3 linked regions of the Sus scrofa genome follow. The protein of the gene in region 1 interacts with the protein of each later gene in a pairwise test. Links are inferred from orthologs where the notes say so. Each region holds a gene or a part of one and is shown in the gene's direction. Other genes may lie near its edges.

Evidence for each region.
Region 2: the proteins of KPNA2 (region 1) and NMNAT1 interact in a two-hybrid assay, tested with the Homo sapiens proteins (3 studies listed by BioGRID and IntAct). The two-hybrid records come from large-scale screens. The link is inferred for Sus scrofa from reciprocal best matches to the Homo sapiens genes KPNA2 and NMNAT1.
Region 3: the proteins of KPNA2 (region 1) and HNRNPC interact in binary tests that used the Homo sapiens proteins (3 or more experiments, as listed by UniProt). The link is inferred for Sus scrofa from reciprocal best matches to the Homo sapiens genes KPNA2 and HNRNPC.

The regions. Positions count from the first base shown.
Region 1 is NC_010454.4:14,292,073-14,297,894, forward strand, and holds the end of KPNA2 (importin subunit alpha-1), read left to right. Parts: coding exon 1-11; intron 12-194; coding exon 195-428; intron 429-648; coding exon 649-831; intron 832-3,004; coding exon 3,005-3,154; intron 3,155-4,327; coding exon 4,328-4,420; 3' UTR 4,421-4,677; downstream 4,678-5,822.
Region 2 is NC_010448.4:70,301,684-70,306,151, forward strand, and holds part of NMNAT1 (nicotinamide/nicotinic acid mononucleotide adenylyltransferase 1), read left to right. Parts: intron 1-2,152; coding exon 2,153-2,298; intron 2,299-3,387; coding exon 3,388-3,788; 3' UTR 3,789-3,792; exon of another isoform or gene 3,793-4,027; 3' UTR 4,028-4,468.
Region 3 is NC_010449.5:77,948,033-77,953,196, forward strand, and holds part of HNRNPC (heterogeneous nuclear ribonucleoproteins C1/C2), read left to right. Parts: intron 1-2,718; 5' UTR 2,719-2,755; coding exon 2,756-2,996; intron 2,997-5,164. UniProt on the Homo sapiens protein: Binds pre-mRNA and nucleates the assembly of 40S hnRNP particles. Interacts with poly-U tracts in the 3'-UTR or 5'-UTR of mRNA and modulates the stability and the level of translation of bound mRNA molecules. Single HNRNPC tetramers bind 230-240 nucleotides.

The DNA.
Region 1 (5,822 bases):
TGCCGATTGTGGTAAGTTAATTTTCAAATGAGAAATAAAGTATGAAGAGCATAATCAGTCAGTACTAATATTGACATACTACCTATTTTAGGCCACAATGAGCCTCTTGTCCAGACTTTTAGGGTGTAGCGACTTCGAGCAGTGGTAGAAACGATGAAGGATAACCAGCAACATCAGCATTTTTCCCTTTCCAGACTCCTGCACTAAGAGCAATAGGAAACATTGTCACTGGCACAGATGAACAGACGCAGGTTGTCATAGATGCAGGAGCACTCGCCGTCTTTCCCAGCCTGCTAACAAACTCCAAAACAAATATTCAGAAGGAGGCTACGTGGACAATGTCAAATATTACAGCTGGTCGCCAGGACCAGATACAGCAAGTTGTAAATCATGGATTGGTCCCATTCCTTGTTGGCGTTCTCTCGAAGGTAAGAAGCCTTAGGCCTTCATAAAGGATTGCTTCCAGAGGCCACTTGGTAGAACTGTACTTCATAAGGTTCTTAATGTACTAATGTTAGGTCCTACTTATAGTCTTTTGCTAAATAATAGTCAGATGGTAGTTTTAGTCACTATTTTTCTAAAAGAGTACTTTTGGAATCTTATTTTTATGCCCATTCTGAAATACACCTGTTTTCTTGTGTTTATTAGGCAGACTTTAAGACACAAAAGGAAGCTGTATGGGCTGTGACCAATTACACAAGTGGTGGAACAGTTGAACAGATCGTGTACCTTGTCCACTGTGGCATAATAGAACCATTGATGAACCTCTTAACTGCAAAAGATACCAAAATTATCCTGGTTATTCTGGATGCCATTTCTAATATCTTTCAGGTAAGTTGCCTTTTTTTTTTTTTTGGCCACACCCTTGGCATGCAGAAATTCACAGGTCAGGGATCAAAGCTTAGCCTCAAAAGTGATGACACTAGAGGTTTGGTGGGTTTTTTTTGTTTTTTGGTCTTTTTTTAGGGCCGCACCGGTGGCATATGGAGGTTCTTAGGCTAGGGGTCGAATTGGAGCTGTAGCTGCCAGCCTCCATCACAGCTCATGGCAACGCCAGATCCTTAATCCACTGAGCGAGGCCAGGGATCAAACCTTTGTCCTCATGGATGTTAATCAGGTTCGTTTCCGCTGAGCCATGGTGGGAATTCCCTGGTTTACTATTTAGATGATGGCAAGGTGGGGGTGGAGGCAGCTAAATTTCCTGAGTGGGCCACAGAATCAGAAAGCCTCTTCATATGAGCCACACTCTTGATAAAATAAGACCTGGCAAGGATTATAAGAGATATAAAAGGAATGACAAATGCATGATGTGACTGAATTGAGGTCAGGTACATATGTGGACACGATTCATATCTGTTTATTTTGTCAAGATGTCTTAATCCCCCAGTTTTTGTTTTTTGGTTTTTTTTTTTGGTCTTTTGTCTTTTTAGGGCCGCACTGGCAGCATATGGAGGTTGCCACGCTGGGGGTCGAATCAGAGCTGTAGCCACTGGCCTACACCAGAGCCACAGCAACATCAGATCCAAGCTGCGTCTGCGACCTACAACACAGCTCACAGCAACGCCAGATCTTTAACCCACTGAGTGAGGCCAGGGATTGAACCCAAAACCTTATGGTTCCTAGTCAGATTTGTTTTCTGCTGTGCCATGACAGGAACTCCTGATTCCCCAATTTCATACTGTAATTCAGTATGAAATTAAATTTGACCAACCAGGAGTTCCTGTCGTGGCTTGGTGGTTAACGAATCCAACTGGGAACCACGAGGTTGCGGGTTTGATCCTTGGCTCGCTCAGTGGGCTAAGGATCCATCGTTGCCATGAACTGTGGTGTAGGTCACAGACGCGGCTCGGATCCTGCGTTGCTGTGGCTCTGGTGTAGGCTGGCGGCTACAGCTCCTATTAGACCCCTAGCCTGGGAATCTCCATATGCTGCAGGTGCAGCCCTAGAAAAGGCAAAAAGAAAAAAAAAAATTCGAACGACCCGGTCAGTTATATTTTTCTTCTGGTTTCAAGCCCTGAGTGATCCACATGTGCTGGCACATGGCACTTTGTCAGTATTTAATGGTGGTTAGGTCTTACTCAACAACTTTGATTATGGAAATTTTCACATATCAAAGTTGAGTTTAGAATATGATTACCTAACATAAATAAGTCGGCAACATTTGGCTTCTTTTCCTACTCACACTTACCTTAAGTTTTTATTTTGAAGCAAATACGTTATTTTACTTGTAAATATTTATGTATGTCCTAAAAGTTGAGGACTTTGAAAAGTATCTGACCACCGTACCATTCTCTTGGTATCAACAAATGATCCAGTCAGAGGAATTTGTTTTTACAAACCACAGGCCATCTTTACCCTTGGACAGTGATTCTCCACTCTTACTACATACACCTTGGGATTATCTGGAGTCTTTACAAAACAGTAATTTCCTATTCCCATCACAGGCCAACTGAACCTGGATATAGTGTCATTTTTAAAGTTGCCTGGGTGATTTTGATGTACAGAAAAGGTTAAGAACTATACTAAGATCTTTGTGGCTGAAAGCTACAGAAGTAGTTGCTAAGAAGCAAAATCTGATTCGCTTGAATTTTTCAAAAATATAAAACATAGGTAAAATGCAGATAGTTCTCTCTCATAGGGTTGTTAAATAAACTCACGTGTTTATTTCTGTCTGATACACATGGACACTAAAACATAGAAATTGTTTTCTTCATTAAAATAGAACTTTCAGGGAGTTCCCGTCATGGCACAGTGGAAATGAATCCAACTAGGAATCATGAGGTTTGGGGTTCGATCCCTGGCCTTGCTCAGTGGGTTAAGGATCTGGTGTTGCTGTGGCTGTGGTGTAGGCCGGCGGCTACAGCTCCATTAGACCCCTAGCCTGGGAACCTCCATGTGCTGCAGTTGCGGCCTTATAAAGACAAAAAGACCAAAAAAAAAAAAAAAAAAAAAAAAAAAAAAGGTCTTTCAAAGTGTAGGCTACTAAACTTGGAATTTTTTGCAGGCTGCTGAGAAACTAGGTGAAACTGAGAAACTTAGTATAATGATTGAAGAATGTGGAGGTCTGGACAAAATTGAAGCTCTCCAAAACCATGAAAATGAGTCTGTGTACAAAGCTTCATTAAACTTGATTGAGAAGTATTTCTCTGTGGAGGTGAGTAGCAATGTCAATAAGAACTGGAAAAATACACATTTAAGGTTAAGCCCATAAGATATTTTTCCTCATACTTTTTAGATGAGCGCTGTTCAGTATAGCAGTATATCATATCAGTCTCAAGTGGGGTATAACATACATATTTGTTCATCTCATGTTTGACTTGAAGATAATACCATCTTTTTAAACTGAGGTATTAAAAAGTCACCCATTTACTTTCAAATGAATAGCCTTAGAGAGCTTAGACTATCTTGAGAGTGAGTTTGTATAGACGTTAGAGAAGTGAGCCTCTGGCCTAATAAGCTGCCTTCTGAAGTGACAGGTTAAGAAAATCTCTGCTTTTCTGTTGCCGTAGTAGCATTTCTTAACCTGTTCATAACTTCCCTCCCAGGCACTCATGAGTTGGCAAGTTTCAGAGCTTTCCATCCACTCTTTCAGATATTGAAAATATGGCGCAGGATTACAAAAGACAAAACAAAGGGGGGAGTTCCCATCTTGGTGCAGTGGAAATGAATCCGACTAGGAACCATGAGGTTTCAGATTCAATCCCTGACCTCACCCAGTGGGTTAAGGATCTGGTGTTGCCGTGAGCTGTGGTGTAGGTCAGAGACGCAGCTCAGATCTGACATTGCTATGGCTCTGGCGTAGGCTGCTGGCAACAACTCCGATTAGACCTCTAGCCTGGGAACCTCCATATGCCGAGGGTGCAGCCCTAAAAAGACAAGAGACGGAAAAAAAAAAAGATACAATGCAGGATTAAAGGTGAAATATGCAAATGAGGACCTTAGGAGTGAATACCTAGTAGGTATTTATGCTAAGTGAAATGAGTTAGACAAATACCACCAGGTGATCTCTCTTATATGTGTGATGTTAAAAACACACACACGGAGTTCCCCTGTGGCTAAGCAGGTTAAGGATCCTCTATTGGTGCTTCTGTGGTGCAGGTTCTATCCCTGGCCCAGGAACTTCCAAATGCTGCAGTCATTGCCATGGCCAAAAAGAAACATGCACACAAGAACAGATTTGTGGTTGCCAAAAGTGGGGGTGGGAGACATGGGTAAACTGGTTTTCGTTTTCAGCTTAGAGATAAAAGAAGAAAAAAGAGTAAATACAAACTTGTAGGCATCTGCCTCTTAGAAACATTTTATATTGTTTTGTTTTTAAATACTCCAGGAAGAGGAAGATCAAAATGTTGTGCCAGAAACTACCTCTGAAGGATATACATTCCAAGTTCAGGACAGCGCTACTGGGACCTTCAACTTTTAGACTGCACATCTGAGGCATAAAGTTGTTTGTTGCGTACTATGTTTGATAAAAGTTGGTCTTACTGTTTCTCTACTAAGAGCTCTTTTTAAATGTGGTTTGTTATTGTAGCACTTTTTACAACTGAAACTATACTTGAACAGTTCCAAACTGTACATACTGTATGAAGCTTCTACTCTCAGTAGGGTTCTTATTTCTATGTGGAATTTCATATCTTGCAGTGTCCTGTAAATAAAGATTAAATTCCACCCTTTTCTTTACTTTGCATTTCCTATGTGTTGCTTTCTAGTTTGGGGCTCCTAAAGGTTATAGATGAGGGGGAACTGAACCATGACTACCAAAGATGTTCTGGTTGCAGACATCATTTTGTCATGTCATCAAGGATATGGGCTTGATAACTTCCTGCCCACTTTTGATTCTGCTTTGTTTTTTTTTTATGGAACGCTTCACGAATTTGCGTGTCATCCTTGCGCAGGGGCCATGCTAATCTCTGTATCTTTCCCATTTTAGTATATGTGCTGCCGAAGCGAGCACTGATTGATTCTGCTTTGTTCTAAACTGCTTCCCCTTTTGGTTGGTAAAAATGGCCAATGGCGCTTTCAGACTTCACATCCATTTCACACCTATCAATTTTTTCAGAAGTTTTCACTGGAGAACGAGTAAAATTTCCCAGAAACCCTCAGCCAGTGTCTCCATAAGTCTTACTGGCCAGGAAGATGGGATAAAAATCTTAAATTTCATCTTCATTTTTTCCTGGAGCTACAAGTGCAATTCATTCCTCCCAAACTTCAAGGCTGAAAGTGGTTTCAAGGCTGCACGTTGGCATCACCTGGGAAAGTTTAGTCGGGAAGGAGTGGGATTCAAGTCCTGTAGGTTCTGTTTTTTAATTTCATCCCTGTCTGTGCCGTCTGGGTTGCGAAAGCCACTTGCTGCTCGGAAGAGGTAGCTGTGCCATTAGCAGAAGTGGCAGGGGGAGGGTGGAGTATTGACTCCAGCGCCCCAGGAAACCAACTGCATTTTTAACGTACTGTAAGCCTCTGCTTTTTTGATGAGCGGAGAAGTGATGAGCCAAGTCTTCACTGCTCTGTTTCCCCCACAGAAGGTAAAAGCTGTGGTGGCAGAGGTGGGGATTTGGGCTGAAGACTCAAGGTGAAAGTAATTTATGACTGTAAGGGCTACTGTATTCAGAAAAATGAGAGAGTTCCTTCAAGTCAGTTGTACGATGCACTGAATTTCCACTTACCTCTCTCAGTGGGTGTAGTGGTAAGCGAACTTAGCCCAGTTCGTTCACAGACAAAAGTACATTTTGCTCTTTGTAGATAACAGGCTTTTAAAGTTCCTTCCACAAATAGTGCTCATCTTGTTTGTTTACAGAAATAGAGAATATGTTGGCTAATGCTTGTTT
Region 2 (4,468 bases), on another chromosome or scaffold:
CAAGTCAATCTCATCAGCGGAATCTCAGTGACCCCCGGAACCTGCCTCTGAGGACCTCTGGGAAATGTGTTTAGGGTGCGATTGAACACAGCCAGCAGCCAACACCTAGCACGGTGACTTGGGAGAAGACAGTGTCCTCTGTTTGTCGCCCAGAAGTTCTCCCATCAGAGACCAGACTCCAGGGTCCCCCACCTTGCCCCGCCTTCTCTGGCTCCATAGCAGCTTTACTGTCCATTATGTGTTCAACTCAGCGATTCAAGAGAGGGTGTGGCTCATCAGGTTAAGGATCTGGCATTGTCACTGCTGTAGCTCAGGTCACTGCGGTGGTGCAGGTTCAAATTCCCAGCCCAGGAACTTCACATGCCTCGGGATTTGGCCAAAAAAAGGGGGGGGGGGCAAAGGGATTATAAGCACTAAGGACCCAGAGTTGGCGCCTACAGGTGTGGCTCATGTTCCGTGAGGACCTGCATAGTTGTAAAGCCATGGACATCTTGCTGCCCGCCCAGAGGACACTGTACAAACCCTGCCTGTGGTCCCTGTGGTCTCTTCCTTTTAGGCTTTGGGCACTTGTCACCCTCTAGGACCTAATCCTTGGCATTGGGGTCTTCATTACTAGGCCAGGCCACACTCTTTAGTGGTCAAGGGAATGGGCGCTGGAACCAGACTGATGTGGTTCACATCCTGGCTTGGCCACTTACAAGCTAAATGACCTTGGGCGGATTGGTCAGTGTCCTCCTCTCTCAATAGGGATGGCAATTCTGATGTAATGCTGGCAGTAGTATAGTTGCTTCATAGTAACCAAAACATTCACTCAGCCACTTTGTTACTGAATGCCTCCTGTGTCCCAGAGACTCTGCCAGGAGCTGGAGTTGCCAACTCTAAGCCTTCACTTCCTCTCCATTGTGGGGATGATAATAATATGACTACGGCATGTCGACAATATTTAATTAAATCATCCTTGCAAAGGGTTTAGTGTAGTGGTTAACACACAATAAATAATCAAGGTTGGGAGTTCCCGACGTGGCGCAGCATAAACGAATCCGACTAGGAACCAAGAGGTTGAGGGTTTGATCCCTGGCCTCGCCCAGTGGGTTAAGGATCTGGCGTTTCCGTGAGCTGCTGTGTAGGTCGCAGACATGGCTCGAATCTGGTGTTGCTGTGGCTATGGTGTAGGCTGGCAGCTGTAGCTCTGATTAGACCCCTAGCCTGGGAACCTCCATATGCCGCAGGTACAGCCCTAGAAAAGACAAAAAAGAAAAAAATTTCAAGGTTGGTGTTTTCTTGTGGTGCAGCGGGTTTAGGATCTGACGTCATAGCATTGGCTCAGTGGCATGGTTCTATCCCTTCCCAGGAACTTCCACCTGCCTTGGGTGCAGCCAAAAAAAAAAAAATCGTGTTAACTCTTGTTATTATGACACAGGCACATACAGCTTAGAATAAGAATAGCTACCATTTGCTGTGCTCCCAGGATTTTCTTTGCTTTCCATTCTTTTTTTTTTTTTTTTTTTTTGGCCATGCCTGCAGCACATGGAAATTCCCAGGCTGGGAATCGAATTCAAGCCATAGCGGTGGCCCAAGCTGCTGCAGTGACAATGCTGGATCCTTAACCCACTGCATCGCAAGGGAACTCCAACCTCGCTTTCCATTCCTGGCAGCCATAGCCAGGGCTGCAGTGTACTGGCTAGCACCCATCCTGACTCAGCAGTACTGAGTACAGGAAGACATCATTCTGACTCGACAGGCATTGTGTGGACCTGTGGTTAAATGTGTTTAATTCAGAGTTCCTGTTGTAGCTCAGTGGTAACGAACCCAGCTAGTATCCATGAGGATGCAGGTTCGATCCTTGGCCTTGCTCAGTGGGTTAAGGATCCAGCATTGCCCTGAGCTGTGGTGTAGGTCACAGATGTGCTCAGATCCCACGTAGCTGTGGCTGTGGTGTAGGCCAGCAGCTATCGCTCAGATTCAACCCCTAGCCTGGGAACTTCCACGCCAGGAGTGCGGCCCCCCTGCCCCCCAAAAAAGGCGGGGGGGGGTTAATTCATCTCCCAACTTTTAACATTGTATGAGAGGCTCTTAGGTGTCTCCAGAGGGATGACATCTCAGTGGAGCATTGGGAGAAAGAGAAACGTTCTATTCCTTTGTTATTTTATAGGCACCATCAAGAGAAGCTAGAGGCCAGTAGCTGTGATCACCAGCAGGATTCACCTGTACTGAACAGGCCAGGACGGAAGAGGAAGTGGACTGAACAAAGACAAGATTTTAGTCAGAAGAAATCCGCAGAGCAAACAAAAACAAAAGGTCTGTGTATTTTACCAGGACCTACCAACGAGAGCTGATAAGACTCTAGGGCTGGAGTTCCCCTTGTGGCTCAGTGGGTTATGAAACCAACTAGTATCCATGAGGATGTGGGTTTGATCCCTGGCCTCCCTAAGGATCTGGTGTTGCTGTGGCTGTGGTGTAGGCTGGCAGCTGCAGCCCTGATTGGACCCCTAGTCTGGTGACTTCTATATGCTGCGGGTATGGCCCTAAAAAGACTCTGGGGCTGAGCAAACCCACTTTGTATTTTCTTTTCATATTGAGTGGGGGGCTGCCTGGAACATGCCCCCTCTTAGTTTCATGATGAGAGGAAGGGAGAGTCGGAGGCACCCTGGCTTGATGTGGGATCTCAACTCCAAGATCAGAGAGAGAACTCATGCTGCAGCGGGGAAAGTGCTGACTCCTAACCATAGACCATCAGGGAACTCCTCTGGCTCACTTCTGAGAATCTAAATCTGATAAAAACTATGAACCCGATAGCCAGAAAAACACATACACATTCATTTTGATGCAAGGAGTTATTAAAAAGGCAAAGCCTGGGTGTTCCCGCTGTGGCTCAGTGGATTAAAGACTTGACATTGTCTCATGAAGATGCAAGTTTGATCCCCACCCTCGCTCAGTGAGTTAAGGATCTGGCATTACCACAAGCTGCGGCTCACAGGTGCAACTTGGATCCAGTGCTGCAATGTGTAGGGTGTAGGCCACAAATGTAGCTCCAATTCAGCCCCTAGCTTGGGGGCCCCTGTGTGCCACAGGTTCAGCCCTAAAAAGAAAAAAAGCGAGAGAGAAAAAAGTTTTTTTAGGGCTGCATCTGCAGCATATGAAAGTTCCTAGGCTAGGGGTCGAGTTGGAGCTACAGCTACAGGCTTATAGGATCCAAGCCACGTCTGAGACCTACACCACCCAGCTCACGGCTGGGTCCTTAACCCACTGAGTGAGGTCAGGGATCAAACCCACATCGTCATGGATACTAGCCAGGTTCTTAACCCACTGAGCCACAATGGGAACTCCGAGAAAAAAATTTTTAATGAAAAGGCAGGGCCCCATGCTCTGTTTTCCTCTTCGTCCCAGGTGTGCCAAAGGTGAAGTTGCTGTGTGGAGCAGATCTGTTGGAGTCCTTCGGGGTCCCCAATCTGTGGAAGAGCGAGGACATCACCAAAATCGTGGGAGACTATGGGCTCATATGTATCACCCGGGCTGGAAATGACACTCAGAAGTTCATCTATGAATCCGACGTGCTGTGGAAACATCAGAACAACATCCACCTGGTGAACGAATGGATCACCAACGACATCTCATCCACGAAGATCCGGCGAGCCCTCCGCAGGGGCCAGAGCATCCGCTACTTGGTCCCGGATCTTGTCCAGGAGTACATTGAAGAGCACGGTCTCTACAGCTCCGAGAGCGAAGAGAGGAATGTTGGCATCATCCTGGCTCCTTTGCAGAGGAACACCGGGGGCACTGACGCATGAGCAGGTCTCCAGCAGGGTAGTTTGGACTTGCCTTTTGGGAGTGGAAGCAATCCGGGTGTTAGCAACTGGGAGAAGGAGTTGAATCCTCTAATAAAGTAAAGCTTCAGAGTAGTTTGTTACTAAATTAAAATCAGGTTTATCTTTTCATCAGAAGTTGCCAAGATGACTGTTTTCAATGTTTTATTTGTCTGTTTATTTGTTTAGAATATAAAAATCCCCCCCTTTTTTTCCTTTTTCAGCCACACTGGTATGGACGTTCCTAGGACAGGGATTGAATTCAAGCTGAAGCTTCGGGAACTCCCAGATCCCTTCGTCTTTAAAACAAGAGATTAGCAGCACTAAAATCCGAAGAGAATCAAACTAACTGCAAAAAGAATTCAAAAAGGACATTCTAGGAGTTCCCTTGTGGCACAGTGGGTTAAAAATCTGGCATTGTCCTTGCCTTGGCTCAGGTAGCGTCTGCAGTATGGGCCATCCCTGGCCCCAGGAACTTCCATTTGCTGTGGGCGTAGCCAGAAAGAAACAAACCAAAAAGGACCTCCTGGCTTGACCACACAGCGAAGTCAAGTGCGAAAAGCGTCCATTTAAGATCCTACCTTTAGTTATGAAAGGAACGAGCATTTTATGCATACCTATTGCCAGGCCAAAGAATTCTTAAAATAGCTTGTAAAATGCCTAAC
Region 3 (5,164 bases), on another chromosome or scaffold:
GCAACCCAAACTGCTGCAGTGGGATTCTTAATTATTAGTTAATGGCCACATCTGTGGCATATGGAAGTTCCTGGGCTAGGGGTTGAATCAGAGCTGCTGCTGCTGGCCTACTCCGCAGCCACACTAGATCCATGCATCTGCAACCTACACCAAAGCTTGTGGTAACACGGGATCTTAACCCACAGAGCAAGACCAGGGATCAGACCCTCATCTTCACAGATATTAGTTGGGTTTGTTACCACTGAGCCACAATGGGAAATTCCTCAAGTTTGTTTTAATGAATAAGACTATACTATCTAGGGGTAAATGTTTAGGTGATATCATTTAGTACATTTTAAAAGGATTTTACTTTAAAATTAGGTGTTTTAGAGGGAAGAAAGGGATTGAGAAAGGAATGGTGTACATGGGGCTGCTGAGTTCGCTTTGAAATTTTACAGATACTAAACTGCTCTAGCATCTTGAGACTGTTTTACTGCAGTACCTTGTACTTATCCATTTTGGAGCAGACAAAACCTTCCCTGTTGGAACTGCTATTCTAACATCACTTCCCTTTCCAGTAAATACTAGCTGGATATTTTGGGATTCTTCTATTTCTGGGTCTTTTAGACTCCCACAGTAATAGATACCATGCATGTTAGCTTGCATTTGGAGTTGATGGGGATGCCTTGACACCAAGTTTTGTTTTTGTTGAAACCTAGAGAGAATTTTTCCAGTATTTGCTATTAATATATTTATTGTTAGTGAAAAACATTTGCTGAAAAATAGTTTATATTTCCACTTATAATAATAGTAAACCCTAATAGCTAAGCAAAAATATTTGCAGCCAGTTAGACCTTTTAGTAGGTTTCGATTTTGATTCTTTGGTGTTCTAAGGCTTTCTGGCACTCCCACTTAATTGAAAGGTTGTTGATTCTCAGTAGCCACTGTGGTTAATTTTTTATTGCTTAGTCCAAAAAGACTATTTATAAAGATATAACTTAGAAACCAAAATAAAGATGAGCTGTTTTTTGAATTTCAGAAAGGATAGGAGGTAAAGGCTGTTGTTACAGCTTTAAAACCTGTATGCTTGTGAAATGACCAGTTGTTTTCAGGGTCAGAATGGTAGTGATCATATATAAATGTTGAATTTTTTTTTTCTATGTGTGTATAAGACATTTTTATGTAACCCATGAAAACTAGTTTGTCATTCTCTTGAGGATTGGAAAAATAATAGATATTGGACATTGGTATTTTTTTGAGATTCTTCGGTACCTTTCAAAGGGCTACATGAGAAATAATCTTAAGTATGTTAACTCAGAATCTAAGGTGCATCCATTTAAACCAGGTTTAACTTTGGTTGGAGAGGGGAGGAGCAGTGGACTGATTAAAAGCTAAAGAATTTTGGAGTTGCCTGGTGGCCTAATAGCTAAGGATTTGGCATTGCCAGTGCTACTAGCCTGGGACCTGGGCATGCCTGGGACATAGCCAAAAAAATGGCTAAAGAATGTCAAAACATCTTTACTTTGGAGTTCTCTTGTGACTCAGCAGGTTGAGGATCCATTGTCCAGTGTTGTCACTGCAGCAGCTTGGGTTGCTACTCTGGTGTGGATGCGACCCCCCAAAAAATCTTTTTTTTTCTTTTTATAGCCGCCGCACCTGTAGCATATGGAAGTTCCTGGGCTAGGGTTTGAATCAGAGCTGCAGCTTGTGGCAACACCAGATCCTTTAACCCAAGGCCAGGGATCAAACTCACATCCTCACAGACACAGTGTCAGGTTCTTAATCCACTGAGCTACAATGGGAATTCCAAAAAATATTTCACTTTGGAAGACCTAAAATGATAGCATGAATCTCTGGGTAATTATAATAGGATTCTGCCTCCATGACAGACAGACATAAAGGTAATTTTTGTTTTGAAACAGTGTGAGGAAAGTTGTATTTTTTTCCGTAGTTCTCTGGGTCCTTTGATTCATGCAGTGTTCTACTTGCTAGTTTTATCATCATCACCATCCAGTATTATTAAATATCTTGGTTGTAGTTTGTAATATATTCTCACACAAAAAGTAAAGAGTCATTGCTTTCTGTAAAAAGGTTGTATTGATACTTAAGATATATATCTATGGCATATTATAATTAGTTGAAGTACCTGGAAATAGATTAATTCCAGAGTGAGTGAATTGCTTCTATTTAATGCTTTTGTATAATAAAGTTAATTATATGTAAAGGGTAGAGTGTCATTTGTCCACATTCATCTAGCTCAAGATAGTTTGTGGGCAGAATTTGGGGGAATGAATGAGCTCATTTTAGTAAAAGCAGTGCGCAAGAAGTAGAGTTATTGTTGGCAAGGAATGGTTAAGTTAGTGTGACTCGGAAGGTGAAAAACAAGGAGAAATTTAGAGTTTATGGGGTTCTAATTTGCTTGAGGACTTTAAAACAGGGATATCACTTGGAATTAATAATGTCCAAGAAGATCGTGTTGCCCCTAGTCTGTGAAGAAGATTCCCTCTTTCCCAGCCCCCTTGAAGTGATAGTCTAGCAAGAATATACTAAAGAAGAGTGAAATTCTATAAGGATGTATTCAGGTGCCATAGTCTTTGAATAGTAATACACTTGCTGCTGTGAGATCCTTTTAGTTGACTTATATTTAGGTAGTCATGATGGTTCAGAGTAAGTTTTTAATCAAGAATTATTTTGTTTTTAGCATCTTTTCACCTGAATGCATTTCTTTTTTCCTTTCAGTTTTTCGGCTTTGTGAATTACCTTATCATCAAAGACAATGGCCAGCAACGTTACCAACAAGACAGATCCTCGCTCCATGAATTCCCGTGTATTCATTGGGAATCTCAATACTCTTGTGGTCAAGAAATCTGATGTGGAGGCAATCTTCTCAAAATATGGCAAAATCGTGGGTTGCTCTGTTCATAAGGGCTTTGCCTTCGTTCAGTACGTTAATGAGAGAAATGCTCGAGCTGCTGTTGCAGGAGAGGATGGCCGAATGATTGCTGGCCAGGTTTTAGGTAAGGTCTGGGTTGAATGTATTTTTCATTGATTATAGTCTTTCTGTTCGGTCCTCTCTTTCTCTTCCTCTTTCTCCATAAAGCTAACAACAATCTGGTATTAGTTCTGCATGTTACGACTGGCATCAACTTAATCAAAATGTTAGGTTTATAATAGACTTAACTTATTGGGTTATTTTGTGTGGTAGAGACCAATTAACCCTTAGTTGGTAGTTTTGAGTTTGGGGGAGGGGGAGATGGGAATGATATTTCATAAGATACTATTGCTACCTAAATTGCTGTCCTTCCAGTCACAGTGGAATGGGTGAAGACAGTGCTCAGTCATGTGCTCTGGAGTCCAATTGTTTGGCTCCACTTTGGAGCCTCACAACTATGTGTGTTGGGTAGCATATGTAGTTATCTGAGCCTTAATTTTTCTCATTTGTTAAAACAAAGATAGTAGTACCTCCGTTTATTATTTCTTACCTGAGGCAGTGACACTGTGGTGGTCTAAAGAATTTAAGTAAATTGAGAGGATGATTCATAAGAAGCTTCTAATTGAGCATGTTACATTCAGTAAAAGTTACTGTTAAATCTGTTTTAGTACCATAAACTCTGATTATGTTGTTTTAGATATTAGTTCCCCTAATAGGTGTCAGCTCTGATCTAGCATGTTCAAGTTTTGAGAAAAGAGATATGCTCAAAGATAGTTTATATTCTAAACTTTAAATCTCATATATTAAGACTATTAGAACACATAAGTATGTTCCTGATGATTGTAGAACTTCATCTCCTTGAATAGCTTTGTAATTGCTTGTCAGCTTTTAGGATTTCATGTCAGTAATAGTAATTTTGATATAGTTTGTATTTTCTTGGGTATGAATATCAGAGAATCTAACGGGTTTGTAAAGCAAGTCAGTTTCTTTTTAATTTTTATGAAAAAAACAGGTGTCTGAGTACCATAGACTGGCTATTTCCACTGTTGATAATACATCATTTGCCAATTTAACGAATTGTTTACTTCAGATTTATGGTTTGTAGAAATTCATAATTAAAATGAGGTCTTAAATTTTGTTTGAATATTCTGGCAGTGGCTTAAATTTTCATTTTGTTTTCAGGATTTTCAGGAGTTTGTATTTATTCACTTTTAAAATGTAAATGTAGAGCACATTTAAAGTCCAACTTCATTTTCTACTCGCCTTTTTCTCTTCAGGTTGGAGTGAGTTTTTTACCCCTTTAAGTGTTTCCATGTTGGTATTTCTCTCTAATACAACTTAAAACTTCAGCATTCCGTAATGATTATAATCTTTAATAAATTTTTACAACAGATCACATTGTACAGAAAATTTTGTTTGCTTTTTGCTTTTTAGGGCCGCACCCACAACATACGGAAGTTCCCAGGCTGGAAGTCTAATTGGAGTTATAGATGCCCTCCTATACCACAGCCACAGCAATTCAGGATCTGAGGTGCAACTGTGACTCAAATTACAGCTCACAGCAATGCTAGATCCCTGACCCACTGAGCAAGGCCAGGGATTGAACCCGCATCCTCATGGATACTAGTCAGATTCCTTTCTGCTGTGCCACAATGGGAACTCCCTGCCAGAGTAATTTGAAAACTTCAGTACACACCTAGTATATAAGGACTTTTAAACAAAATGCAAACCACATGCCCTTATCACACACAAAATTCATAGTGATTATTTAATACCATCTAATATTCAGTCCATATTCAGATTTCTTCCTCTCTTGTCTCAAACTTTTTATCATAACATTTAATTTGTTGAACTAATGTTCATAGTAAAAGAATTGGGTGAAACATTTTAATAATGTATTTTATGTAACTATCCCATAATCATATAAAAATATGATTGGAATTCTTTACATTCTTTTTTCATACAAAGTCTTTGAAGTCAGTGTGTATATTTCACTAAAATTTATCTGAATTCAGATTCAGTATATTTAAGATGCTCCATAGCCACATGTGGCTAGCAGGCTTATTGTCTGGGGCTGTGCCGATCTAGACGCTTAATTCGATTCAGAGTCTATTTATTTAGGTGAAAATATTTCATAGATAATGTTATGTATTTTGTATTGTATCACATCAGGTAACCTAACATTGTTGTCCCATTTTTAGTGATGTTAAAAATTTGTGGGTTCAAGTTTTACACCATGATCCATTCATGGTA